4 linked regions of the Oreochromis niloticus genome follow. The protein of the gene in region 2 binds, or shares a complex with, the protein of the main gene of each other region. Links are inferred from orthologs where the notes say so. Each region holds a gene or a part of one and is shown on either strand. Other genes may lie near its edges.

Region 1 (7,316 bases), about 5.1 Mb from region 2:
AATGCAGCAGAGCCACAGAGCCTCTGTCACATCACTGATGAACATGTTGTTCTTTTAATAAATTACTTTTGGCCTGTTTAATACTGGACTCTACCACACGTTCCTATCAATCAGCCTGTAGTACAGTTTGTTTCTATCTGTTCGTCTTGTCTCATGTGACCATTCACAAAGGTAGCTCTGCAGGCCTTAACTTGCAGGATTTAATTGTGGTTGTGTTTTCAGGTAATGCCATCGTATATAAACCCTCTCCAATGGCTCCGGTGACTGCTGTCATCCTGGCTGAGATCTACAAAGAGGCTGGGGTACCTGATGGGCTTTTCTGTGTGGTCCAAGGTGGAGCAGAGACCGGCAGCTTGCTCTGCCATCATCCAAAAGTCGCTAAAGTCTCTTTCACTGGGAGTGTTCCTACAGGCAAAAAGGTACACAGACCAGTACAGCATTGTTTCCCACATATGGACTGTAACTGGAATGTCCAGATACACTGATGGTCTTCCAAGTAAATTTTGTTCTTAGTTGTTTTGTTTTTTTTTGTCATACAGAGGAATGTGATCTGTTTACTAATATAGAATATTTTAGTTTAGAACATAGAGAGTATGATAGATGCACATAGGCACTGTGATGTCTCCATGTTAAGCATTAGCATTTTGTCTGCTGCTATGATGTTTTGTTTTAAGACAGAAGTCAAGCAGGTAGAATGCAGTTAGCAAGCTGCCAAAACTGAAACGGTTCAAAGAAGTCAATAATTCTTTTTCTTCTTCTCATTATTATTTTCAACCAGGCTGTAAACTGAATTTAGTGCTGGGGACTTGGACATTAAAGATGGGAATGTTGGGTTATTGGCTCACTTTTGGAGTCACGTATTGGGGTATTTATTCTCCTGTGGGACACAGCCCCAACCTACTGTGATTCGCCTGTTTAGCAACTGTTGATTCCTCATGTGCATTTCTAGTTGCGATTTTTGAACTTGCCAATAAAAGAATAACAGTCATCATCTCAGTATAAGAAAGAAATAATCATAGGATAAAATTTAAGGAAGATCTGAAGTTATAGGAACTGACATGAGGGAACGTACAAAGAAGTGAAACGATGTCAGTTACAAATATGTTTGCCCCTAAAGAGAAAACTGACTGCAGAGAGGCAGTGGGGACGCGGGAGGATAAAAGAGTCCCCAGACTCAGAGTACACTGCCCTGGAGGTGACAACAGTAGCCCTTGTTCTGCTCTGGAGATCTCCTGCAGGCTGGAGGAGGGTCACCCTAACCAGCCTTAAAGATCTGCTACTTTATTTTAAGCTAAAGGTGACTTTATTATACAAGCCCACAGACCATGGCTGCTCTCTTTACTTTCAGGTCATGGAAATGTCTGCAAAGAGTGTGAAGCAGGTGACTCTGGAGCTGGGAGGGAAATCTCCTCTCATTATCTTCAAAGACTGCGAACTGGAGAATGCAGTGAAGGGGGCACTAATGGCGAACTTCCTGACACAGGGACAGGTGAGTCTGTACAATGTACTTTTAGTGTACTGTGCAGCCTGATGCAAACCAAGACTCTTGGAGGTTTTGGTGTATTAACTTTGTGCTGAAATATGCAGGTGTGCTGCAATGGGACCAGAGTGTTTGTGCAGCGGGAGATCATGCCACAGTTCCTAGAGGAGGTAGTCAAGAGGACCAAGGCCATCCCTGTTGGTGACCCCCTGCTCGGGAGCACCAGGATGGGACCTCTGATCAGCAAACCACAGCTGGAGAAAGTGCTGGGATTTGTCAGTCAGGCCAAGAAAGAGGTGCTTTTCATTAGAGGGAGAGAATTAGCTTTAATAGTTTGTGGTTTCTCAGTTAAACACAAAGAATCTGCATTACTGTGGGTATTCTTTAACATAGCTCTTGTAATTATTTATTTATTTATTTATTTCTAGGGAGCCAGAGTGCTTTGTGGAGGAGATCCCTTTGTCCCCAGTGACCCCAAACTGAAAGGGGGGTATTTCATGTCGCCATGCGTACTTGGTACGTCTAACACTTTGGTTAATGGTGGTACAGCACACGCACAGTCAGCTTTGTTTTTTAACACACAAAGTCTCTCGACAGATAACTGCAGAGACGACATGACCTGTGTGAAGGAGGAGATTTTTGGCCCTGTTATGTCCGTTTTGCCTTTTGACACGGAGGAAGAAGTGATCCAGAGAGCCAACAACACCACCTTTGGACTGGCCTCTGGGGTCTTCACCAGGTCAGTCTGTCGTGAGTCAGCAGTGTGGTGCAACTGTTGACGGCTTGCTCTTTTAAGATAATGAGTTTATTGCATTCTGTTGGCTGTGGCTCAAGGTCTCCACAGTGCGGCCAATTCACTGCACAGTAGCAATTTCAAGTTGCATACAGACTGCTTTTCTCTGTATAAAAGTCGGTTCTTTTCCTTCTCCTACAGGGACATTTCTCGAGCCCATCGCGTGGCAGCGAGTATGGAGGCAGGGACCTGCTTTATCAACAATTACAACATCAACCCTATAGAGTTGCCGTTTGGAGGATACAAGATGTCGGGTAAGATGCTGTCAGCTTTTCATGGTCCAGGTAAATGCTGCATTTGCTCAATAAATTAACCAGTTCTCTCCTGATCCCTGCAGGCTTTGGCAGAGAGAACGGCCAGGTGACCATCGAGTACTACTCCCAGCTGAAGACTGTAGTGGTGGAAATGGGTGACGTCGAAAGCCTCTTCTAAAGTTTTACACCGCTGTGCCAGAACTGTGACTACAGCTCTTCACTTCTCCCTTCTTACTGTGCTAGGCTGACACATAATTAATGCAGAGTGTGTGGAACATGATGTAGACTCCAAAAGTATTGAAGTAATCAGAAGAAAATTTCTGCCTAACAGCTGCTTCTTTGTATCAAAATAAACTTGTAGAAGCAAATTCTTTTTCTTTGTTGCTTGTGAGTTGAACTGTATGAATATGCTATACTGAAATCACGTCAACAGTCATTTCAAGGTGCTTTATATTGCAAGGTAAAGACTACAATATTAGACAGAAAATGCCAACAATCAGCGATCCCCCTGTGGGCGAGACGAAGAGCTTCTTTTTAACAGGAAGAGACCTCCATCAGAAGGGCAGACATCTGCCTCAACTGGAAAGATCAAAGGACAGCAGACCAGCGGATGAAGTTAATAACATACAATACATGAGTGAAAAGAGCTGAGTGGAGAAAAAATACTTTAAAATAATATGTTAAATAAGTTTAATATGGGACGTCACTGAGCAAGCTTGGTCTAGTGCAGGGTCACCTGACTAAGCTGTAACTTTATGAGTTATAAAAACTTTCAAGGCCAAATTCAAAAGTAGAGAAGGTGTCAAGAGTATTGTATTCACTATATTGAGATAATATAATAAAAAGATACTTTTATTACTATATGTGAGGAGAAGGATTTTAAGTTCTGGATTTAACAGAGTCAGTAAAGAGTTGATAGTGTGGGAGAAATATGATCTCTCTTTTCCTTTCCTGGTACCTGGAAAATGGTACTATTAATTGACATTTTAGTTATTCTGTAAGTGATGTTATTATTGTTGGTAATACTAATTAGCAGGATTTTGGTGGTGTACAACCACAAACTTTGACAGTGTATTTGATATTATATGCTACCAGGTGCTTTCTAAAATTGCAGATCATTCATTCATAATGATCTGCAATTCTTATGAGTTGTGCTTCACGTTGAAGCAAACTGAAGGTCCTGGTTTCTTTCTGCGTGCTCATGCTTCCTCCCAGAATCATACATGTTAGGTTAACTGTTGTGTCTGTGTATCTGAATAATTGTCTCGTGACAACAGGGTTCATATTGTTAAACAATAACTGCTTTACCGATAAGGCAGCAGCACCATGTTGTAGTTTAAAAGCAGTTGTATGTTGCTATATATATAATATATTAAGTATATAAATATATGGAGCATTTATAAAGTAGGAATGTAATTGAGAACCTGCAAAGCGTTATCTGACACACACACACACACACACACACACACACACACACATATATATATATGTGTGTGTGTGTGTGTATATATATATACATATATATATAGTGAGAGAGAGAGAGAGGGAGAGAGAGAGAGAGAGTACACAGTTAATGTACAAATTAATTACTATAGTTTTAATTACTATAGTAATATAGATTAATATAGATATACATTCAGTTTTTACATATATCACATTTGAACTCTAAACTCTAAACTGAAATATTTGCTTAAATGTCGCATAAGTTGTGTACTGGATTATTTGTTTACGAGAAAAATTTGAATAAATAAACGTTATAGCGTTTCCGCCATGTTTAATCTGCAGGCTTTTACTTTGACAGTGATGAACCGGAAGTGCTTCTGTGTCGCTTGAGGTTGGCTAAATTCTACTTGAACAATGCAGGTAATAAATATGAATATATATTCTGGACGACAGTATAATGCCTCCTTAGATGCATTAACATTCATTAAAACTTTTATTTATTTTGCCTGATGACTCATTTTCTTCTTGTTTAAGTGACTGTTGGTCTCTTAAGTGGCTGAGTTTATGCACTCTTTAGCCGTTTAGCTAGCACAACTGTGTATTTGCAGTCAGTTTGGGAGGTTTTTAATGCTTTTGTTGTCTTTTAGCAACGAGAAGAGAAGCAATTAGAGGCGTCAGTGGAGTCTCTCATTTCGAGGGTGGCTCACGTTAAAAATGCTCTGCACAGTTTCATTTACAAACTAGAAAACGAGTACGAGCGTTTGACGTGGTGAGTAAAATTGTTTTCAATGTAAAGCAGGCTGATTTGTATTAAAAGAAACTCGACATAGATTTAAGTTGACCTCGTACTTTGTTGTTCAAGCAGTTTTTGACAGCAACATTATACACAACATTGAACACATTGTGTTCCTTTTATTTACAGGAGAAAATGTGACAGAAACTGTGGAAAATCTTGTCTTGTGGATATACAGATTTGATCTGAAACGCGTGCTTTGTGGATTATTTTTGAGCTCTCACAGATGTTCCCTTTTTTGTCCTGTAGGCCTTCTGTTTTGGATAACTTCGCTCTTCTGTCTGGTCAGCTGAACACCATCAATAAACTGCTCAGGAACGAGAAGACACCATCCTTTCGCAACCAGGTTATAATTCCCCTGGTCCTGTCTCCAGACCGAGATGAGGACTTGGCAGTGAGTACCACAGCTGATGACACGTTTCCTTTTTTGAAGAAAAAAAAAAGGAAGTATTTTCTCTGAGGTGTCTGTTTACCTGCTCCCAGAAACTTACGGAGCAGCGCGTTCCAGTGTTCAGCCATGAGATCGTACCGGACTACTTGCGGACCAAACCTGACCCAGAGGTGGAGGAGCAGGAGAAAACGCTGAGTACAGAGGCAGCACGTATTGGCCCCGATGTGGCCCAGGTTAGTTTGGACTCACATAAAATAAAATATTCTGTCATTTTTGGGAATATTTTGCAATTTTTGTTTAAGCCTTCAGGTTTTATTGTCATGAACAGAAACAGATCCAGGCTTTGAATAAGTTGTGTACTACTCTGCTGGAGAAGCTAAGCAACCCTCGTGAGGACAGAGATGCAGAAAGTGCTGGTATGTTGCACTTCTGCTGCAGTTTTTTTCTTTAATAAATTACACAAACACAGTGATGACTCACAATTTTTTATTTTTATTTTTTAACCCAGCTATGCGACAGAGCAAACCGTCTTTCAACCCTGCTGACACTAACGCATTAGTTTCGGCTGTTGCATTTGGAAAGGGACTTTCCAAATGTAGGCCTCCTGGTCCTGTGGCCCCTGGACACCAAGGACAGGGGTCCATGATGAGTGGAGGTCCAACCTTACAGCAGGTCACTATTGGTGGGGGTTCAGGCCAGCAAGCAGGTATGGGAGGACCTGTGGCTCAACAGCAGCAAGGACAGACAGGTAGGAGACTTGGAAAGCTGAGTTAGTATTTTATCTGAGCACAGCATCACAGTTATGTGAGAGCCAGCCATAGAGTGCTTTGCCGTGTTTCTTCAGTTTTCTTCAGTTTCAAGACTTTACTGATGACAGTCATTAGTTTTTGAATTATAATGAATTAAGTGTGATGCTCCATTTAAAAATTATGGTCACTTTAAGAGGTAGGAAGGGGAATTATACAGGATATGTTAAAGGCAAATTTTTAAAACACCAGCTGATAACAAAAATGCTCAGCTCTAGGCTTCATAACAGGATACTCAAACAATCTTACATTATACTGCAGTTTAAAAAACTGCCTATTCCAATATTTAAAAAAACAATAACATTGCACAAATGAAAAAACATTCTCAAGCTAATGCGCCCATTTTTCCCATGCAATAATCCATCTATGCTTCCACCCAAATGCAGAGGCCGAAGGGACCGTGGTGCATGCTGATGATTAGCCCTTATTAGGGGGCATTAACAGTCGTATCTGATATATATTTTATGATGTTAAGTATTACAAAGTAGTTGACTGTCATCCCTGGCTTTCCTAACATAGACATGATTTAAAATAGTAGATGGCATTTTGTCATAAATTTGGTAGAAATGCCAACATTTCTGTATAGAATTCATTTCTGTGGTCTGTGTATAGTTGTTATCATGCAGTTTACAGCTTAAAAACATGTTAAGGTGTGCACTACCTGTTTAATTTAACTAGAAATGTACTTTTACTTCAAAGTAATCTCCACGTTAATGCCAGGAAAATTCCCACCAAACATTACATTGTAATGAGATGATAGTGTTGATTTTCATATGAAAACTGCTTGTTTGTTTATATGTATTGATACTACTTTGAACTCTACAGATCATTTTCAGGAGTTTATGGACCTTGAAACTTGCACATTGACTACTAGCTAAGACTGTCACAATACTAGAATTTATTGAGTATATACTCAGGGAACTACTAAATACCATTTTTGAGACCACGCTGAAGATTTTGACCCCATCCTGCAACAATAGTAAAGAAAATCTCCAAAGGTTGATTCTGTTCATCTGGACGTAACGTTTTGTGGGAGAAACGTTTCGTCACTCATCCAAGTGACTTCTTCAGTCTCAGCTGACTGCAGGTTTCCCCAATCTTATAAACAGTACATTTGCATAATGACTGAAACCAACCAGCTCAGTGAATGGGGTGGTTGGGTCAGTTCCTTAATCTTAATTATGCAAATTCTCATGCCCATTGATCAACAGCCACTGACTAAAACCCACTGATCAAAACCCACTGATCAATGGCCATGAGTACCATTCACAGAGATAGTGAATAGTAAAGAAAAGTAATGGTGAAGAACTCACATTTCAAAAAACATGTTGAATTTTTGCAAACTTTTTCAATAAT
Region 2 (7,356 bases):
CTGAAAAGTACACACTTCCTCTGAGTTCTGAAGGTCCTGGTGGTCTCGGGTTTAATGGCCACACTTGTCTTATTGATCTGACTGTGCACACTGGTCTTACTTGCTCAGAGTTCTCCCGGGTCAGGAACTTGAGGTGGGTGACAGCGGGGTACTTCTCCCTCCTCAGCGGGTCGGTGGTGCAACGCAGGAAAAGTGACGGCAGCAGCTCAGTGTCAATGCGACATTTCTCACTCACCACGCTGACCACCACCTGAAACAACCAAAGGTAAAATGTCAGGTTAGCATCAGAGGTGATAGCCCCTTGGTGACGCCAGCAAATGTCAGGTTAGCATCAGAGGTGATAGCCCCTTGGTAACACCAGCATCTTTGGTCCTTACCTTGTAGAACTGCACAGGCGAGGAGCTGCTGCCATCTGTGGCAGCCACCACAATGTTCCCTCCTCCGGTGAAGGCAATATCGGCCAACGCCACGCGCCCTCTCAGCCGGCACAGGCTCTCGCTCGCCGTCAGCAGAGCGCCACCCGGTTTCAGCAGCGACACTGTCACCAAACCACTCACTGTCACCGCCAGCCAGCCCTCCATCGGCTTACCGCCAAACAGCGTTAGGGACGGTGAAAATTTCACCCGAGAGAACTTCTCCCCGAAGTTTGTGGAGCCAGACTGAAGCAAGAGGAGAAGAGGAGGCAGGGCTTACTCAACTGGTCTCAGTGAGTATTAAGACACAGAGCTATCACTGCAACGAGCCAGCAGGTGTGTGCACATGTGTGGGCAGCTATTACCATCTCCACGTGCAGTGCCAGCTTGACACCATTGTGCAGCCAGCTGAGAGCGATGATGGGGTCTCCATCTAGCGAGCTCGACAGGACACTCTCCCAGCTATTCACCAGGTGATCCGACATCGACCAGCATTTGATCTGCCCGTCGCCGTCTGCAGACAGCAGCCGTGAGCCTGCAGCACGCGCAAACACACAGACACACACGTCACTTCCTGTCTCTCTCAGCAGAACGTGACACTGCAACATGTACTGTACATAAAGCAAGAGAAAAGCAGATTCTCCTGCTTGCACAGTCTGAACAGCTTATAGCCAATCCGATTCCAGACCAATAACAGTCAATCAATCAGCTGAGCTCATCTCCAAAACATTTAACTGAAGTCTCACCTGATTGGTCCCACTCCAGACAGGAAATGACCTCAGTGTGTCCAGAGTTGATGGAGAAAACATCCCAGGGGTGCTCAGTGTCGATGATATGGATCATGTGACTCACATCTGGAAAACAGAACATCAAGTTCAGCGTGTGTTTGTGTGTTCGCCTGTGTGTGTGTGTGTGCGCGTGCGTGTGTATTTGTGTACTCTTGTCGTCGTCCTCGCTCTTCAGGTCTGTGGTGAAGGCCACGAGGTTCCTGCAGGACCAGGAGCAGACCAGCGGGATGGAAGGGCAGTGTGTGCTCTTCGGACGCTTCTCCCACTCACACACATAGGCCAGTTCCATGATTCCACCACAGAAGAAGAATCTAGAGCCCAGGTGGATGCGTCACCTAAAAAGCAGACCAGTCAGAGGGATTTAATCTTGTCAGCTGCTCTAATCACTTAAACACCAATTACTGACCTGTTTGTGTGGATAGAGCAGAGATGAACATGAGTGATCAGACCTCTGCCTTACCACTACATGTGTCAGACAGATGCATGAGCCACGGGCTCCCCAGTGCCACCTTTACCTGAAGTAGTGGAAAGTAAAGCTTTCAAAAGGGACACTTAGCCACTGGTACAGAGATGTGAAAAAGCAAAGCACAAGTAGAAGGACAAAAGAAAGAAAAGGAACACACATGTAAAGAAGAAAGCTCTTAAAACATGTGGTTGTCCCCACTGGGCTTTCATCAAATCAGCAAAGATGCACAGAAAAGAAGGTCAGACACCAACTAGGGAGAATAAGAAGGACAAAGGGGAACAACACTGTAATCCCGTATGTAGCAGGTTTATCATAGAAGCATCCCAGTGTACTTCAGACCCAGCCACACACTCAGACACAAACTAAACAACAGTGTATGCTGTGCAGTGCCGTGCTGCAAGGAAAGCTCAAACCTGTACACAGAAGAGAGACTCAGCTGTACATCTGCATCTAAAAGTCAAAGGTCACTCTTTTGAGGATGCCAATGTTCACATTTCGGACAGAGAGGACTGATGGTTAGTGGAAGAAGCATCTATGTCCACTGTGAACGAACATCTTTGAACAGAGGGCGGGGTTTACAAAACCGACTATTTCCACCCAGATCCATACCTTGGCTCAGGTGTCCTCAACAGGTCACACGATGGGCTGGGGCAACATCTCACAGTGGTTTCACCATTAAACCCCATTGATGGTAATGAGCCCCACCTTCTTTCATACCTTGGTTCTTGTGTTGACTCACATGATCAATAGTGGGTAACCCTCAGGATCACCTCCAATGGGGATTAAACACCTGGGACCCTCCACTTTAATTTGTAGAACTAAAGAAGCCTGTTGCATGAAACGTCTTTACAAACTTAAAGCAGTTCAGCTGCTTCCTTTTCAAACTGAGCATCAAACTGTTCACCCAGGCCGTGCCAAATAACACCATGGTCACAGTACTCAGTCACAACAGTGAATGAGCAGCTGCACTAGCCGCTAGCGTTAGCTCACCTGACGGTTTTCCGCTCCTGTCACCCAGATGAGAATGAAAATTAGCTGTTTTCCTTTTCCTGTTTTTAAGGCTGTTTAAAATTAACTTAAGGTCATTAAAACACCGAAACAGCAGACTTGAGTTGAATTCAGCGCTTTTTGCTTGCTGCTGTTAAAAACAAACCGCTCTCTGTTAAAAGGATGTGGGGACCCCGCGGCTGCCTCTACAGCTGCCTGACTATAAAACACTGACGGCACCCCGAAGCTCTACTCAAACAGCGTCAAGGCGAGACGTTTAAGCCACGTGTAATATAAACGTGTTTGTCTGTGAGATGACTGATATAACCTCTGTGATCAGTTTGATATCGGCTCTGTGCGACGAACCGGCTGTTAATCTGACGGGCGCCGCGGACACCCTCCTCTATCCCCGGGAACATTCTGCCCTCAGCGAAGTCTTCTAGGCGGAAAAAAAATTAAAAGATACCTGCATCGATTTTAGTTTATTGTGGTTTCCTTTACTAGTATTTACTAGTTGTTGTTTTTAATAATGGAAACTAAAGCTGAAAAAATATCCGACCTCGATGCATTGTCATCTTGTTCATCTGTCCAGAAACGTATTTTAAATCTGGTGTCAGGTGACTTTTTCTTTAGCTGTGAGTTCACACTGACAGGGTGCACACAGTGTTGCCAACTTAGCGACTTTGTCGCTATATTTAGCGAGTTTTCAGACCCCCTTAGCGACTTTTTTTCTAAAAAGCGACTAGCGACAAATCTGGCGACTTTTTCTGGTGTTATTGGAGATTTATTTATGGCCTGCATTTGTATAGCGCTTTTCTAGTCCATAGGACCCCAAAGCGCTTTACACTACATTCAGTCATTCACCCAGTCACACACACATTCACACACTGGCGATAGCAAGCTACATTGTAGCCACAGCTGCCCTGGGGCGCACTGACAGAGGCGAGGCTGCCGGACACAGGCGCCACCGGGCCCTCTGACCACCACCAGTAGGCAAACATGGGGTTAGTATCTTGCCCAAGGATATTTGGCATGCAGCCAGGATGCAGCCTGGGATCGAACCACCGACCTTCTGATTAGTGGCTGACCTGCTCTGCCACCTGAGCTACAGCCACGACTTTTTGACGTGAAAGTGGGCATCGCTTTTACTCTCAACAAGCAGCGGGTGCTGCCGTGGGCACCTCGCCCGTACCAAAGCGCTCACAGGCGGAGGATAGTCCTCCCCCAGCTGCTATCAGGGCAGACGATGTTCACACCTATGCGTCCGAACTGCAAATGAATCGCGCATGAGCGAAGCCGCTGCTCCCGCACTGACTGTAACGCAGTCAGTTCTTCTTTTACTGTTATGCTGTTTTGTGGATCACGAGGTTTAAAACTACTTATAAACACACACACACACAAAGTAACTCCACCAGAGTGCCTATTTCGGGTCTTTTTTGCCGGTCCAAGACCGGATAAAGGAGCAGGGTTGGAATTCTGACTTTAAAAAAAACAATAATTGCTAAAATAAATTTAATTTGTTGTTCTAAATAAATTCTAAATGCATTTAGGACGTTTTTTACTCACTTTATGTCTCTTCCACAATGTTATTTCTCTCTCCAGCAACGTAGGTTACAATTACATTAGCATGACCAATTATGCAAATTAGGCGATGATGTCATTTAGCGACTTCTGGCGACTTTTAGGACAGCCAATAGCGATTTTCCTTACTGAGGAGTTGGCAACACTGGGTGCACAGCTAGGGATAGGTATCGTTTAGGTTTTATCCGATACCGGTGCCAAACCGGTACTTTTGAAACGGTGCCGGTGCTTAAACGGTGCTCGAACCGGTGCTTAAACAATGGAAAACACAAACTTTGTCCTAAAACCTCTCATGTTTAGCTGGGGGGATTTTTGTAAAAAGATAACAATGTTAGCCTTTCCTGCAGCTATAGGGCATATATGGTGTCACTCTATCAAACAAGAAGACAGCCGCATGTAACTATGACGGTCTTTGCTAGTTCACCTTACGTGCATTAATTTAATAACGTGGTTAGCCTACTCAATGTAAATTACACACGAACAACATTAAGCTACTCACTCAGAGAAGAACTAAAAGAACGTACGTACCTGGGCCTGCCTACTATCCTTGGAAAGGTAAAATGATTGGCTAGAATCCAAAGTGTATGACATCTCAAGAAAAAAAAAGCACCGAAATGGGCGCCGCTTTTCGGTCTGGTTACTACCGTTTATGTCAGAACCTGGCACCGGATACCCATCCCTATGCACAGCTAGATTATGGTCTGATCCAATGATCTGCTGTATGAGTGAGTTCGATCCTCTGTTTTTTGATCACCTTCTGCGTTGTATCAAGAGCAGGATGCTGTCCATATGGTTGGTTTTTGTGTGGGCTGAAGTAAAGAAAGACTTTATTGAGAAACATCACGTCCTCTTTTCCTGTCTCCTCCTCCCTGATCCTGGTTTTCTTCCCGATTAAAGAGAGTTCTTCCTCTCTGCTGTCACCAGGTACCCTCTGATGTTGTTGGTCGTTTGTATAACGATGAGGTGAGTGTAACCAAACAGTGTGTTTGGTTATTGTGTTTATGTTTTGTGCTGTGTCGGTGTGTTTAAGTAAGCAAATGTATTTGTGTAGCACATGTCGGGATACAACAGGTGCTACAAAGGTGCTTTACATCAAATCAAAACACGAAACCAAAAAAACAGAAATGCAGGTAAATTACAAATAAACTAGAATGAAACGTCAGTTTAACCTCCTAGGACCCGGTGACCACATATGTGGACATCACATTTTGGGTTGTCTAGACCAAAATACAAACTTTTGCTCTACAGGGGCCTGATATCCAGTTACGGGGACATTATATTGCCACACTTCTATCAAAATTTAAAACGAATGTCCTCATATGTGGATCTCATTTTTCTCATAAACAAAAATCAGGTAAAAAAAAATAATAAATAAATCTGGTAATTCTTTGTTTTTACATTCATCAGGTCACAATCAGCCCAAATAGCAAAGAGAAATTAAAAATGCATGCCATGAAACAGTTCGGGTCTTAGGTGGTTAAAGCAGTGAGAATCATTGTTTAATTTTGTGTGGAAGGTTTAGTGGTAATGCTGCTAAAAACACATTGTGAACCTTTGTTTCAGAGATGGGTTTGGCGTGCTCTGTTTGGCTACACTTCCTGTTTCTGGATCTTTTGGAGAAAGTTAGAACCCTCTGTTCAAGTGTTTTTCAGAAAGCAGGTAAAACTGAGCTTCCTGTCGCTGTGATTCTGCTATAATACTGCAGCTGTTGGCAGATGTTTGTGTCTTGCAGTGAACCATCTGAATGTTTGAGGACTAAAAATCATTCTTTATTTTTGATGCATCATGAAAACAATCAGAAACTTCCTGTGCTGCTGTGTCAGATTAAAAGTCTGCAGATAAACACTGGAACTCTTTTTTTTCTCTAGATGAATCAGACACGTTGTCTCTGTTTTAGGCTCTAACCAACGGACTGCTGATTAGACAAGGGGAACTGCTGTCATCTTCAAGGACTAATCAGCAACAGCCATTTCTGTTGGAGAGTCTTTAGAAACCACTGCATCCCAGCTTGAGGAGAAACTCAGTCCTGTATTTCAGGATCTCCTGCCCTGCTGCTTGAGGTCGAGTCCTGTTTCGGAGTCAGGCACACTCACTGGTTCTCCTGGTTGGCAAATCGTCCGGCCTCCCAGAGCAGAGCTCCCTGGTTCTTATGTCGATTGACTCGAGTCGACTCCACAACCTGAAAACAGGCCAAGACGACAAGGAGTTAAGGAGACAAGGAGTAAAGGGGTTAATGTTACAGGAGAAGCCCATACCTCGTTGTTGATCTCATCGACTGGCTGGATTCCTGCGTACTGTAAAGAAACAGACAAATAAAAAATAGACTCTGTTATTATTGTGCAGTTTTAAAACCTCAGTTCCAACAGTCAGGACACTGGTTGAACTGCAAATAAAAACAGAATGCAATAAAATGCAAATCCCATAAACTCATATTTTATCCACAATAGAGCACAAAAAACACAGTAAATACTCAAAATGAGACATTTTACTGACAAATCTGAGCTCATGTGGAATTTGGCAGCAGCGACTCGACCTAAAAGTTGCGACGGAGCAGTAAAAGTGTGTCAAAGTCCGGCAGTGCAAAAGAAAAGATCAAAGGTGAGCTGGCAGCAGGTCGGTCACGTGATCAGGTGGAAAAAGATCCTCTCAGAGAGGCGGAGCTTCTCAGAGGTTCACCAACCTGTTTCAGAATCACAGTCCTTGCTGTGAACATATCATCAACTACACAATAAGACATCATCAGCATATTCAGTGGATCTGAGCGCAGGGATGAGGCTGTAAATCAGTATTGGATTTCTGTGATCTTCAGCTGTTCGCCTCAGCTCACAGACTGATGTTATGGAAGAGGAAACATGGACCTGTCCAGATGTGTTGCTGCCATCAGATTCAACATGAGCTCATATTTTTATTCAAACATTTACCATGGTTAAACATTTTATGTGTTTTCTGTGTTCTGTAGTAAATAATATATTAGTTTAATAGATTTAGAGATTGTTGCATTCTGGGTTGTTTTATAGTTCACACAGACCCAGCTTTGTTGGACCTTGGTTTTTATTTTATTCACTTCCATTTTATTTGTGCAGCATCATTTCATTGACAACTTCTAAATGATCATCTTCAT
Region 3 (7,024 bases), on a different chromosome or scaffold from region 2:
GGCATGAAATCCAATAATCCAAACAGAACTTCAACTACATCTGTGCATGTACATTCACACGGGTCCCTAAAGTGCAATATAGATTCAGTGTTTGATGGATACACTACAGTTACTATGAGTCCCACATTTAGCACAAACGCATTTAGCACAACAACAGGTGGGTGTTTAGCCATATGCTGTTTGTGAACCTTTTACACCTGAATCAAAGAAATAATAATATTTAGTTTTTGGTTCCACAGGTTTTGAAAAAGAGCCTGAAGACTGGATCCCACTTATTTGTGGTATATCAGTATCATGTGTCATTTTAATGGCATTTATAATTTTTTGCTTCAAATCAAGATTACATTCAGGTAGGCTATGCAGCTGCGCCTTACTTCCACTTCCTGTGTATTTCATTGTTTTGTTTTAATGGTTTGCATGAAAAATTTCCCCCCATGATTCTGAATATACTTCTGCTTCTGTCTCACCAAAGCATTTCCTGTTCAAAATTGTTGCTGTGGCTTGAATAGCAGGGTAAGTATCTGTGCTGACATTGAGGTGTAACCTAAAACTCTCATGCAGAAATGAAGTGTGTGCGTGTTGCTTTGTCTGGGTAATGAAATTTATTGCTTTTTACTGCAGGTGGAAGAGGAGTCTTCAGTGGTTTATTCATCAATTATCATCAGGACACCTGGCAAAAGAATTAATCACATGGCCTCTAGTGATTGTGTTTATTGTGAAATAAAAGTATAGAGAAAAAAAGGTCCAGGATAAGTGAGGTCACTTTTATTTATATAGCACATTTTAAAACAATATGGATTGGTCCAAAGTGCTTTTCAGTTGACTGTTAAAATAGGTAAGGTCATTAAAGGGCACTGTTTAGAATTATACTTTCCATCCTTGCTGTCATTTGATTTAGTAACTAATTCCTCAAATTACTTAAATTGTAACTTCACCCACATGTTGCTCAAGGGAAAATCTGAAACCATGAGTCTCTTTTTCCAACAAAGGAATGATTTCTAATCGAATCTTTAACTGAACTTTTACCTAATTCTCTGAAAGCCGGGCAGATGTATATATCTATATATATATCTATTTACTTAGCACTTTTAACTTTTATTTTTATGGTTATTTAAGCGTTGTTTGACAGTATGTTTTGCACTAAGTACCACAGCAATTTCCTAATGTTGTAAACCTGCTCAACATTTGGCAATAAAACCCTTTCTGATTCTGATTCTGGGTGTTTTAAAGTACATGGATCGATAATTTTAATGAGAGGCTTTGAGTGTGATACAGATGTTATGTAACAACATTTTTTTTGTTGTTGTTGCTCAGTACAGAGGTGAGGTCCATTCATGAACTGCATGAAAGCACAGTTTCTGGTTACCTTGCAGATCAAGTTAAGATAAAACAAATGTAGGTAAAGAAGTAAAGTTGACCTCAAAATGTTACAGCAATTAAATGCTGCTTTCACAAAGAGAAACTTTATCAGGTACATTAAGTTACTCGAGCTCAGCAATTAAAACAAATTTACAAACAATTTATATTTTTTTGTTAAAAGAAAAAAACACTTATTACACTAAATTTATTTTACAGCTGTATTTTGCTTTGCAGTTTTAGGTTTTACATAATCACCATATAAAATATGACCGCAGTAAAACAGCATCTAAGCAAAAGGTTGCATGAAGAAGGCTGTTAAAAGTGTTAAAACCGCAGCAGTGCTGCGTCTGCAGTGTTAATCAATAATGATCATCAGTGATAGCAAAACAATAACACCCTGCAGATAAAAGGTTATAGTATGATTATTACTGTGAGAAATATGTGTGTTCATACTGTGAGGACATTTTGGTGAGGATAGTCACTGAAAATAATATTTTGGATCCTTTTATTTGTTAAAGTGTTTTATTCAAAGTAAAGTATACAAAAAAAGTGAAAACAATAGAAAAATAGTCTTAAGAAATAAACCAAAACTCACTAAATGCGTTGTTTGAAAAGGCAACAGACAATAAAAAAATATAAAGGAAATGTTGTTTAGTCAAAGATGGAAACACAAAGAGGAGGCTCTGGTGAAAATGACTGTGAGTCAAATGTGTTGTACTGTACTGTTTTACTTATATTTGACCTATGTCACTAATACCACCCACGTCATAAAAACAAAAACACCAACACAGAAACTAATAAAATGCAAACTTATCATTTAACACTTAAAAACCAAACTGAAATCAGAAAATCCACCCTGAAAACTAAAATAACACCAAAATCAAAGGTGGAAAATCCTAAATTAAAATAACAATGGCAGTATTCATAGCAGTCATCTCCGAATAGCCTAAATTGAAAACAATTTGAGTACCACAACACCAACCAACAGAGACAGACAGGACATGACACACAGGACAAACCACTACATCACGATCTGTCATTGGTGGCAGTGTGCACAGCTCTAAGGAAAACAAACCCAAATAAGGCAGCTGACCCAAATAATATCCCCAGGCATGCACTCAGGGTCTACTCATCAGAGCTGGATGGTGCATTCATAGACATATACAATCTGCCTATGCTTTGAGTCCACTACCAGTGGGCCCCTCTCCAAGAAACATACTGCCACATGCTTAAACGACTATCATCCTTTTGGACTTACATCAATTGTGATGAAGTGTTTTGAAAGGATCAAAAAGACCATCCTGGCTACCTTGGACTCTTTACTTTATGCACACATACAGAATCAGTCCACTAGAAGGTAGTAACACGTCTGTGAAAATGCTGTTCGTTGACTGAAGCTGCATTTAATGCTGTCAGACTCACACCCTTTCTCTGTAACTGAGCTCTGAACTTCCTGTAAGATAGACCCCACTCAGTCAGAGTTGGAAACCAGACATCAAACATCAGAACTGTGAGCATTGGTATTACTCAGGGGCATGTGCTGAGTCCACTGCCACATGCTCTCTTCACATATGAGTGTGAGCATCCCCCTAATCAATACCAGAATTATAAAATTTGCATATGAAACTAAAGTAATTGGGCTGATTACTGGCAGGGATGGCATAGAGAAGAGAAGTGAAATGACTAGTGGCCTGGTGTCAGGAAAATAATCTTGCCCTAAATGTAGATAAGAGCAAGGTGATCTGAGGAAAAGACACTCCAAGACAGAGGTGGAGGACACACATGAGGATGGATTTCACCTGGTCTCACAACACCCAGCAGGTAGTGAAGAGCACATTGACTGTACTTTCTAAGATGACTGACAGGGCTCAGCTGCACTACTCAAGACAGGAAGACTTCAGTGTGCGAGAAAAACTGCACAATAAATCACAGGATCATCTTTTCATTAGTATAAGACATTTACACCACCAGGGCTGTCAGCATTGCCCACATCAACATTAAATACAACACAAACTCACAACACCACCAGTTAACAGGTAGGTGGTAGATGCTAAAGGTAGATGCAACAGGAGTCTGAAATCAAAGACTGTAAGTCTCAAATCAGACTCATGAATAAGACAGTCAGTGTCGCCTCTCTTCTACCCCATCAATATTATTGACTATTAGTGTACTTATTATTACCTGCTATGGCATAAATTTGTAAAGACCGGCTTGCAAATATGGACAAAGCAGGTACAACTCGGGTTTTCAAACTCAGGTCTGTTTTTAAAACTAATTTTAGTGTTTGCATTTTCAATACTTGCAATCTTTGTAAATTTTCTGGATTCTTTATTTTTATTTTATTTGAATAATTATGTTTGTTTTGTGTCAAGAGATTGGCAAAATTAAGTGTAAACTACTGCTTTTATTTCCACTGTATGTATGCCAATAAAACCTCTAAACTTAATGCTCAGTAATATATACTTTTCACAGTACTGTGAAAACAGTAATAGTTTCCACAGTACTGATAATCCATTCGTATAGCCTGTGTTAATAAAACCAGAGTACCTATAGTCTAAAAAGCCTGTCTGTCCATGACGTCCATGTCCATTTCTTTCTATTTTATGCACAGATGACCTGCTGTCGATATTTTTAGCACTACCAGTAGGTGGCTGTAATGAGCCTCAAAGTTGGATGTCTACCGATTTGACACACCAAAGGAAGACGCTTCTCATTCATTGTTGTTGCTAACTGTGTTCACTTTTTCTTTCATAACTAAAAAGACGTTTATTTCTTTCCGCGTTCGCTTCTTTGTTTTTGAAAGGTAATATATTTTTAATGTTTCTGTAATAACATTGAAACGCTTAGCCTGGTAGCTTAAGTAATGTTGCGGTTAGCTACTAGCAAACCGAGTAGCTGTGTAGTAGTAGCCGTGTAGTAGTAGCCGTGTGTTTAGAACCCTGTTTAGGCCTTTGGTCAATAGTATTAAAACGTTATCGAGAACGAACACTTAAAACATTTACCCGGTTTTCCTCGGCTACTGCTCTTCGTGGTTTCGTAGACAATAGTGCAAACTGTTGTTTCGAGTGAGTTACACTTAGATTAGTGTTACCACCGGCTATTAGCGAGCTAAAAGTTACAAACTCTGTTACCTATGGCGACAGGTGGAAATTTTTTGTTAATGATGGCATTGCTCCATCAGATGTTCCGACATGTATATATATGTATCTGCATATAATTTTCTTTCTTTAGGCCCAAAAACCTCAAAGTACCCGAGGAAAGATGGAGGCGCCACCTGTTACTGTAATGCCTGTCACTGGGGGCACAATTAACATGATGGAGTATCTGTTACAAGGTAAGATATCATGCATCCGCTGAAGCAAGTAAGCAGGTAAATAACTAACAAGCCCTGAGTGTTATACATAGCATATAGTACTGATAGTGGCAATACTACAGATAGTAGCTTATAGTAACAAAAATGCAAAGCAACAGCAATAATCATTTAATAGTTGCATTGTGCAACTGTTCAGCACAATGAGTAAAGTTACATCAGCAACAGCCTTTGGTGTGAAAGTGAATAGTGAATGAACAGTGTTACATATGTCACGTTTGACCTAAATTATTATGCACTAGCTCCTAAATGGTAAATGGTAAATGGCCTGTATTTATATAGCGCTTTCTAGTCCCTAAGGACCCCAAAGCGCTTTACATATCCAGACATCCACCCATTCACACACACATTCACACACTGGTGATGGCAAGCTACGTTGTAGCCACAGCCACCCTGGGGCGCACTGACAGAGGCGAGGCTGCCGGACACTGGCGCCACCGGGCCCTCTGACCACCAGTAGGCAACGGGTGAAGTGTCTTGCCCAAGGACACAACGACCGAGACTGTCCGAGCCGGGGCTCGAACCGGCAACCTTCCGATTACAAGGCGAACTCCCAACTCTTGAGCCACGATCGCCCCACATGACCCAAATAACAGCTAAATTCTTATTATAATATTATTACAAATAATTTTTAAAATGGTGCATTTACAATGTTTAAAACCTTATTTCTTAACTTGGTCACTCTGTTGTAGAATACTGTGGGTCTTCTCCTGGACCATTGCAGATTTGTTTAGAAAATGTATGGTCCAAAGTTTGGCCATTTATGATTGCTGTGACATTTTACCTTGTATCAAATACTTTTCAAGATATATTTTCTTTGAAATATGGACCATTGACCCTCTTCCAGCATTTTTTTTGGTCATACTTTGAAACCAGATGTTTGAACACAAATATCTGTTAAAGATAATAAAGAGAAAAGGATATGATTTCCATATCCAGATCTGCAGATCCAATCTGTAAAGTGTCATATTTAAACGCACACCAATTTTTAATGGTATACAATTGAATTTCACAATAATGCAAAATGGAAAATTATTTCTTAGTTATAAAAATGAAAAAAATCTTTTTTGGGGGGTTTAAATTTCATGCTGCATTGAGCAAATGTGAAGTTGTACCACAAAAACGAAAAATAGTAATGCATAGTTTAACCCAAATAGACCAAAATTCTAAATTCTGGAGGTTTCAGATGGTATTCTAATTACAACAGTAAAAAATATTTTGATTTATTGAGATAAGTTTAATAAATCAAAATGAGTATTTCATGACCTACTGAACTGTCTTATAATTTACACTAGGTTTAAAATATTACTGCGTGTGCCCTGAAAGTGGGTGGATGTGTTGTTTTTTTTTTTTTCTTTAAAGGAAAATCCTTGAGGTATTTGATATATGAAGCAAAAATGTCAAAGCAATCATTATATATGTACAAACTATGGACGATCTAAGATAGTTAAGCCCATAATGTCTCTAAAAATATTATGATTTGAGTTTGTAATGTTTAAAATGTGAGCTCTTAGCTGTTGATTTTCTCTGAGAAATGTTAATGGAGACTATATTTATAAATATAATATGTATAGAGTCCTAGCCAAATGTAATTTTTTGTATTTGTTCCTTGTGCACTTTATTGAATCAGGGAGTGTGTTAGACCAGGCCCTGGAAAGCCTCTTGCATCGCCTTCGAGGTCTGTGCGACAACATGGAACCTGAGACTTTTACCGATCATGAGTTGGTTTACCTTCTCAAAGGCCAGCAAGGAAACCCCTTCATTTTGCGTGCCCGCCGTTCCCTCTCCCACCCAACTGCTCCATGGCACCTACGCTACCTTGGTCAATCTGAAGTGGGAGACAAGAGTCGCCACGCTTTGGTACGCAACTGCGTTGATGTTGCTGCCTCTCACAGCCTTCCGGAGTTCCTCAATGAGATGGGCTTCCGCATGGACCATGAGTTTGTCAGCAATGGACACATATTTCGTAAAGGTGCAATGAAAATTGTGGTCAGCAAGCTGTCACGCATACTTGTACCAGGGAATACAGAAAACACTGAGCATCTATCACTTTCATACCTGGTGGAGCTGAGTGTGTTGGCTCCTGCAGGACAAGACACTGTGTCAGAGGACATGCGCAGCTTTGCTGAACAACTCAAACCCCTGGTTCACTTGGAAAAGATTGACCCTAGCAAACAGAGACATTAGCCAGTTTTCCACAAAAAGGAACTCTCTCCGGGTGACTGGGAACCTTGGGAGGGACTCCATGAGTTTCCACCAGAGGAACTAGGTCTAAGTCAACTTCTGAGGGAATTA
Region 4 (7,373 bases), on a different chromosome or scaffold from region 2:
GTGAGCTCTGAGTCCAACATACAGACACACACACACACACACACACACACACACACACACACACGTCTCAGCGTCTCTTGACTCTGAGACACACTTTTAGTCGGAGTCACTACTGCTGCTGGAAGAATCTGTGGACATGGCCTCTACATCATCTTCGTTCTCCTTGTTGTGACCCGGAGGCTCCAGGCCAAAGTCATTGCCGTGGTGAGGGGGCAGCATCCCCACTGAGACATCAGACGACTGCCACGGGTAATGAGGCGTCAGGACGTCTGAAGTGACACGAGAGAAAAGTGGTTATTCTGTGAAATGCCAGACACTGACTGACACTACTTATCTCAGCTCCCTTATATAGTATCTGAAAGCTGGCACTTTTTGCCAAGTTTCTTATGTTACAGAACATGATGTGGATGCAGTCTGAATGGCAACAAATAAAATCTGTGTTCAGTGTTTATACTTGATAAAAAGAAAAATAATGGATCCATCCTTTAACTTTTTATCATTATAACGATAAATTATTAACTTATACATTTTGAAATCACTGTAACAAACCTCTGACCTCATCTACAATCTCTTTGCCAGGAGGCATGGGCACTCCTTTCTTTAACTGCTCAGCTGGACTTACCTGGTAACCTCCCAGCAGCTAATGCATCTCCTGGCAGATGCCCATTCACACCATTGGTGGACAGGTTGGCCATGTGACCAAGCATCCCACTACGCATTTCCAGGTCGGTAGGGTACGGTCTGCGTGGATCACCTGTCAAGTATGATGACAGTGAATGAAGCTGAACATAACTTTTTACCAACACCCGGTGGGAGCTACAAGAGAGCCTGGCACATACCTGGCACCCAGTTGAGAGGAGCACACACAGCGTTACTGGCACTGATTCTGTGAGCATACTTGATGATTTCTTCTGATGAGATGCTTCCTGCAGAGAACATGTAAACAGTGTCAATTTATGAGCAAGACATCAAAGAGAAAACCAGCCATCAAACACAGCTTTCACCAGAACGTGTCGGGAGTGTTCCCTCACCTTTCCTGGCTCTTTCAATGGATTTCAGTTTCTCTTTTGCCTGGTAAACAGCAGTGGCCTGAAAGAGATACACAGAAATATATCAGTCCTCTCTATCACTTGTCACATGATGTTAGAATTTAAAGAAGATGTAGTTTCTGTTTATCATGACTCTTCATATGCTGGCCTCATTATTTTAAACCTTGACCATGTTTAATATGTACATCTGTAACAAAGTAAATCAGAAAAAGAAGAGAATCATAGGCCCCTTTACATTTACAATAGCAACACTATAACCCTGAACGCCTCTGCTGTAAGAGCACAGTGTCAGCTACACCAGCATACTTAAAACATTTGAGCATTTATTTCAATCTGTCAGCGTTGCCCTGCTCTGGATGAAAAAAAAAAAATTAAAAATTAAAAACAACAGACAAGCCAAACCCACCAGGATGTGTTCTGCTTCCTTCAGTTGTTTCTGGAGCTGCTGGATGTCACTGTCTCTCTTCTCCACCTCCTTCTCCAGCAGTTGCATCTCCTGGTGAACCTTCCCCTGCTGCTGTGCCACCTCCATCAGCTCCTGAAACTCCTTGTCCCTCTGCACCAACAGCTCCAGAATCTTATGGATAAAGCATATACACATTCTGTTATCAAAGATTTCCTATTTGATACGCTTCATACAGGTTACTGTAACTAACTAAAATCAGTCAAGTCTAACTTGTAAAATAATTTTAGGCATTCTCTGGAGACTCAGACACAATAAAAGGTTCAAAAGTTATGAAAGATTTATGGACAAGACGACAGAAAATCAGTTGGAAGGAACTAAATATCTTCAAATGTGACCGCATTAAAATTAAATGCTTAAATCTAAAAAATTATGGTTAGCAATTAAGCACAGGGTTTGTCCTTAAAGAAACAGTGATCCTGTATCAGTGATCATGTCTCACCAAAACTTTAAAACAGCAAAAAGCAAAAAACTTAAGACTGTGCAAGTCCACAAAGAACTTAAAGATCAAGTACCAGAAACTGGAAAAATACAGACACCGAGTGGCAGACAAGTATCAAACTGGACAGTGTTTCACAACACTGACCAAATATATAGCTGGAGACATTTTAGAATAGCTGCCACATAGTGAGACTTGCTTGTAGAAGGCCTTTGGCTAAGCTTTGATCACCACTAACCCTAAGACTACACATGGTCTGACGGTCACTGTGAGGGTCATTAGTTTGTTTAAATCTCGGTGTGTCAACTGCAGGCTGAGTGGGGTGTTACCTGCGTGTCCTCTCCAGGTTGAGGCATTTTCTGACTCCTGGACAGGGCCAGCATCTCTATCAGCTCCCTGAAATGAACGCACACACAATGAGAAATGGGTCAAACAGCACAACTCAATCCAACAAATCAATTTCTATCTTTATATATTTATTTACTTTTTAAAGCTCATACTGACGATCGTTTTCTGTACGCCTATGTTCACTTTGTTTCTCTGATTAGTCATTTTGGCCATTCTTGTGGTAGTTTCCTTTTAAAAATGACTATTAGCCGCTGAGTGTAGTACCTACAAACTCTTCAGCAACCTTGTTTTATAAAATGGACACACTCAGTCTTCTAACTGCTAAAAGTTTCCAAGAAAAGACTTAGAACAGTGTTTCAGGTTGTTTCAAATCCCAGGGTTCGTTATCTTTCTTTCAGAAAAGCCGTTGTTTCGGCCAGTGAGCGGCATGTCTGCTAGTAATCAGCACAAACTGGGGGTGCTAGTTCACGGCTCCAAATATGAGTATTTTATCTCTTCACAGATAAAATACGGATAGCTTACCAAACCGTTTACACGAGACACAAGAAAGCCCCCACACGAAGTTTAATTTTACCTGGATAAAACCTCCAAATCATCCAGCACAGACAGTAGTCTCTCCTTCGTCGATTTCTCCGCCGCCGCCATGTTTACTTTCTTTCCTCTGGTTTGCGCAAGACAGGAAATGATGTTCCAACATGCTAATGCTTCTTCTTCTTCTTCTTCTTCTTTATTGTTTTCGGGCAATTTGCGTTTTGGTCTCTAGGGTATGCTAGAGATATGACTCCTGTTCTCACTTCCGTAGCATTTGTTGGCGTTATTACATTAGTATTATCGGCAGCCCCAAAAAAACAAACAAAAAAAAAGTATTATTGGCAGCCATATTCTAATCTAGACTTATGGTGCCTTATTTATATATCTATAATTTTCAATAATTTGTACTAAGTTCATCTACTCCAAATAAATTCCTCCCGTTTTTTTGTTTTTTACTTTTTAATGCACTGCATTTATTTGTCAGACCTATGTTTTTAATTATAGGTTACCTGTCATTTACGAAGATAAGAGCGTCAAATATTTTTTTTCTGTTATCAGCGTATTTCACCTTCATTCAAGCGAAAAGCGACACGAATGAAAAATTAAGGAGTACATTAAGTTGGAAAGGTTGATAATATATATATATTATTATGACGGGACATAATGTGGAAATATTCAAGTAACGATTCAAGCGCTTGAAAATAAAAATGAATACAGTACTTCTGCCATATTTTTTTCATTGTTTTTCTTTTTTTGAGTACATCACACATCATACATCCCAGCTGGCGTGAAAGAATTGTATTAATCTTTTGTTTTGTTTTTTTGTCACTGTATATAAATGTGTTCACACAGCTTTATTTTATTTAGTTCCCATGTCCCCGACCAGGGGGAAACAGCCATTTCCCAGATGTCGGCTGTTTCCCCCAGTCTGTGGCAGGCCGTAGACAGCGCAAACCGAAACTGAAGAAGCTTCCGGACCGTCAAAATAAAAGTGCAAACCAGCTTAAAATTTCACAAAAGTTTATGTAATGCAAGCATTTATGCAAAATGGGAAAAGTGCCACAGTAATTAAAAGATAAAATACATATAAACTTTTTTCTCTTGGAAGCTGTGTACAGTGTATCTGTATTTCGTGGTTGGATATTGCCTTTCGGAGATGAGAACTCACATTGCAGCCTGATTTTATTCACGTGGTTTGTTGAGATATTTGAATCAAATAAATACGATATATTCTGAATTCATTATATAGCTCATCAGTTAAAACTGACAGTTCTTCTGTTTTTTCTGTAAATCAAAAATGTGTATATTTTCTTGAAGCCCATTAAATTATTTAAATTTTGGATTTCTTTAATCCACTACCACTTTTTAGTCATCATTTATGTTCGTGCCATTATGTTAATTTTCTTATTTTCTCTTATGTTATGGCAGGGTTATCAAACTCCTTTTACACTGTGTAAATATAAAGCCAGATTTGAGCTTAACTCCTACTTCTGTCATTGCAAAGAAGTTTAACTACACATTACACAATACATCTCAGTTTTTCTGCATTACAGAGAAATACTGAAGTTTTTCAGCACAACTCCTTGGGCTTAAACTGTTATAAATAAATGCATAAATTACTTCCACTAATTACGTTAATTGTATTAAATTTACACCCAAATGTATTAATACAGAAAAAGTTCTATTGGCTTATGGCACAGATGGTCTTTTACTTATACAAACAGAACATTTTTGTTAATTGAAAGAATTTTTGTTTTTGTATTTCTCCTGTAAAGCCACTGCAAAAATGATAGATTTGAATAATGATGGTAAAAAAGTGTCATTTGTGTTTTCATTCCTTGTTTATTTTAGGTTAGTGGTCATGGGGGAGTTTTTTGATCAGTAGGAAAACTCATAAAACTTATGAAAATACAGTTTAAAAAGCTGTCCCAGGGGCCAGATTGGAGAGGTGATTCTGGTCCCTGGGCTTATGTTTGACGCCCCTGCCTTACTTTTATCGTATTAATCAGTGTGTGTAGCTCGGATTGTCCCCCACTCCTTGGTGTTGATGGTTGGTTATGTAAATACATCCCAGAAAAGTAATAAACTCTATAAATTATATTTATAGTAATAAAGTCTTGAGTTTAGTGTATGTGTTCCACTACATTTCGGAAGTAAATGATATAATATTTATTGACAGCTCTAGGTACCAGAGCAACAGTCGTGATCTAATCACTTTCATAATATTTGCACAGTTTTATTGTTCTATATTTAAATAAAACATTTTAGTCTATTACTTGTCTTTTTGTATTATTTATCTATTTTATTATTTAACAGTCATTTATATGTTCTTTTAAGTAGGTATATTATTAAATATGTTAAATGAGTTTTTCGTTAATTGTTTTCTGCATTGTTTTATTTGTTGTTTGTCTAGCATTCCCATTCACTGTGCTTCTCGGCCTATTGTAAATCGCTTTGAAATACATATCTTATATAGGAGAGGCTATAAAATAAAGTATAATAAAAGCAAGTATAATAAGGTATAATACAGCACGTATATACAGATAATTACATAATTTCACACTGATGTTCTTTTTAAGCTAAGTTTTAAGCTTGGATTGTGCCATTTTGCTTTTATATTGTCGTATTTCAGTCAAATATCGGAACGTCTTAGATTAATCGTCGTGGATATGCTTTTATTTTGAAAGTCGGAAGCGCGGCGACTCTAAGTCTAGCTTTACATCGCTCTTATCACAACAACAGAGCAGACTTGGCCGGGGGAGAAGTGCGACTTATTTTTACTTCGGAGCAAATTGTCTTTGCTGTTGTTTGCTTTCTGTCGTGTTGCTTTTTTTCCCTTTCTCTCGGAGATTGTCGCCACTTGTTCCAAGATGGTCAAGGTATCATTTAACACGGCTCTGGCACAGAAAGATGTGAAGAAGGACGCCGAAACTCTTATTCCCGAGGAGGACAAAGTGAGTAGAAAATGGCTAACAGCAAACTCGGTTCTCGGTGGGGGGAAAGGCGCAGTTAAGCATAAATGCGTAGAGACACAATACTGTTGTTTAACAGGGCTCCTGATATATTTCAGTTTCTCCACTCTTTGAACACTTTTAAACAATACATTTTAAAATCATACAATGTATCATTTAAACTACTAACGTCAAATAATTGACTGGACGTTACTTCCTCATGTGGCGTTTGTTTTTTTCACCTTTGATACTCTTGATGTTTCCGGTATTTTCTACTTGTTTCCATTTTTAAATCTATTGTATCCACATAAATATAATATTTACACCTTTTAAGTTGGTCTGACAATACCCTGAAAACATTAATGTAAGTTTATGGGCTCTAAAGTGTAGGAACGAGCTTTGCCTGACTTTTCATGTCGTTTTAGAGGTCAGCAAGTATACCAGGTGGTTAAAGCGTGCAGTTACCAAACAGACCAGTCAGTAAGCAGAAGAATGTAAGAGAAAACAGTGGAGGGAAAAACATTAAGTGCTGGCACCAAAATCACGTGTAGATTTTTACCTGGCAAATTTTAGGATGGGTTTTAATCTGGTTTCATATTACAGTTATTCCTGCTTTTTTTGCAATCAGTTGGCCTCAGACTTCAAGGACATGAACATGTGCCGAGGAAAGAAAAAAGAAAAGAAAAAAAAACACAACAGAAAATGCAGATGTTATGTTATTGCCTCTTTGTGAAGAGTGCCACTCTCAAAAAAGAGAAAGCAGAGGAGGTGGGAACTTCCCCATAACTAAACTTAAAAGTCCATGCAAATTTAGTTATTTTTAATCTGCACCTCTCAGCAATTAATAACAGCTTAGAATGGAAAGACTACACAGGAAGGCATGGGAGTCTGTCACTTTGACATCCTCTTTGGTCTGAAAGATGTGTATGTTGAGTGTCCTAAAAATGTCATTCAAAAGTTAGAAAATTCACCTTTCCCCCCCAAAAAGTGCAAAAAACCCAAAAGAGTGCTGTGCAGTGTGGTGACGCTGCAGTGTATTTTACACAACATTCACTAGAAAAGTGCAACTAAATGACAGTTTTAGAGTTGCAGAGCGGCTGCGACTGCTGTGTGATCTCACCCTGCAAAGGAGCTGGTTGTATTATTCAACTGCTTTCGAGCTGACTTGTGGAGTTGAATGTGTGGGCTGCTGAGGCGTGTTGCCTGTCAGACAGTAAAGTCTACAAGAAGATCTTCCCGCTGGCCTCCACCCTGTTGTAAAAGGAGCTGCCTGTTGTTTCTGTTTCGGTCTGACAGAGGACCTCTGGGCTCTCTCTGTATGCAGAGAGCACTGCGATGTAAACCTTGCTACAGTTGCAAACGCAAACGGCTGCTTGTAGTTTCAAAGATGTGTGCTGAGTGACAAACCACAAAAGTGTAATTCTCGATGAGCAGCTGTGAGAATATCTTAACTTGACTCATTGTGGTGAGAGTTCTGCCTTAGCATGAAACTTTCACACAATCTGCCTGCATGGTTATTGTGGGATTAGACTGTATGAAGGAAGGTGGCAGGGCTCAGTTTCTACCGCCCCCCCGCCCCCCTGTGTCTTGAG

What was found.
Region 1: med16 (region 2) and med8 share a complex: the UniProt entries of both Homo sapiens proteins name them as parts of the mediator complex. The link is inferred for Oreochromis niloticus from reciprocal best matches to the Homo sapiens genes MED16 and MED8.
Region 3: med16 (region 2) and med18 share a complex: the UniProt entries of both Homo sapiens proteins name them as parts of the mediator complex. The link is inferred for Oreochromis niloticus from reciprocal best matches to the Homo sapiens genes MED16 and MED18.
Region 4: med16 (region 2) and med4 share a complex: the UniProt entries of both Homo sapiens proteins name them as parts of the mediator complex. The link is inferred for Oreochromis niloticus from reciprocal best matches to the Homo sapiens genes MED16 and MED4.

What each region holds. Positions count from the first base shown.
Region 1 is NC_031986.2:30,947,537-30,954,852, forward strand, and holds the start of med8 (mediator of RNA polymerase II transcription subunit 8), read left to right. Parts: upstream 1-4,299; 5' UTR 4,300-4,384; coding exon 4,385-4,390; intron 4,391-4,617; coding exon 4,618-4,739; intron 4,740-5,012; coding exon 5,013-5,157; intron 5,158-5,246; coding exon 5,247-5,387; intron 5,388-5,482; coding exon 5,483-5,570; intron 5,571-5,662; coding exon 5,663-5,902; intron 5,903-7,316. Other genes in the region: aldehyde dehydrogenase family 9 member A1, read left to right, coding at 223-419, 1,349-1,489, 1,588-1,776, 1,909-1,996, 2,078-2,219, 2,415-2,527, 2,611-2,705. UniProt on the Homo sapiens protein: Component of the Mediator complex, a coactivator involved in the regulated transcription of nearly all RNA polymerase II-dependent genes.
Region 2 is NC_031986.2:36,000,710-36,008,065, reverse strand, and holds the start of med16 (mediator of RNA polymerase II transcription subunit 16), read right to left. Parts: upstream 3,021-7,356; 5' UTR 2,658-3,020; intron 1,761-2,657; 5' UTR 1,608-1,760; intron 1,537-1,607; 5' UTR 1,491-1,536; coding exon 1,352-1,490; intron 1,268-1,351; coding exon 1,160-1,267; intron 949-1,159; coding exon 779-948; intron 660-778; coding exon 378-659; intron 251-377; coding exon 101-250; intron 1-100. Other genes in the region: misp (mitotic interactor and substrate of PLK1), read right to left, coding at 6,325-6,414, 6,491-6,529. UniProt on the Homo sapiens protein: Component of the Mediator complex, a coactivator involved in the regulated transcription of nearly all RNA polymerase II-dependent genes.
Region 3 is NC_031976.2:26,228,924-26,235,947, reverse strand, and holds the start of med18 (mediator of RNA polymerase II transcription subunit 18), read left to right. Parts: upstream 1-4,004; 5' UTR 4,005-4,162; intron 4,163-4,187; exon of another isoform or gene 4,188-4,424; intron 4,425-4,590; 5' UTR 4,591-4,620; coding exon 4,621-4,693; intron 4,694-6,359; coding exon 6,360-6,916; 3' UTR 6,917-7,024. Other genes in the region: uncharacterized protein LOC109204220, read left to right, coding at 1-157, 240-350, 473-513, 622-732. UniProt on the Homo sapiens protein: Component of the Mediator complex, a coactivator involved in the regulated transcription of nearly all RNA polymerase II-dependent genes.
Region 4 is NC_031987.2:29,462,413-29,469,785, reverse strand, and holds the start of med4 (mediator of RNA polymerase II transcription subunit 4), read right to left. Parts: upstream 3,019-7,373; 5' UTR 2,945-3,018; coding exon 2,874-2,944; intron 2,348-2,873; coding exon 2,281-2,347; intron 1,627-2,280; coding exon 1,456-1,626; intron 1,090-1,455; coding exon 1,032-1,089; intron 927-1,031; coding exon 840-926; intron 755-839; coding exon 623-754; intron 270-622; coding exon 97-269; 3' UTR 1-96. Other genes in the region: itm2bb (integral membrane protein 2Bb), read left to right, coding at 5,701-5,784. UniProt on the Homo sapiens protein: Component of the Mediator complex, a coactivator involved in the regulated transcription of nearly all RNA polymerase II-dependent genes.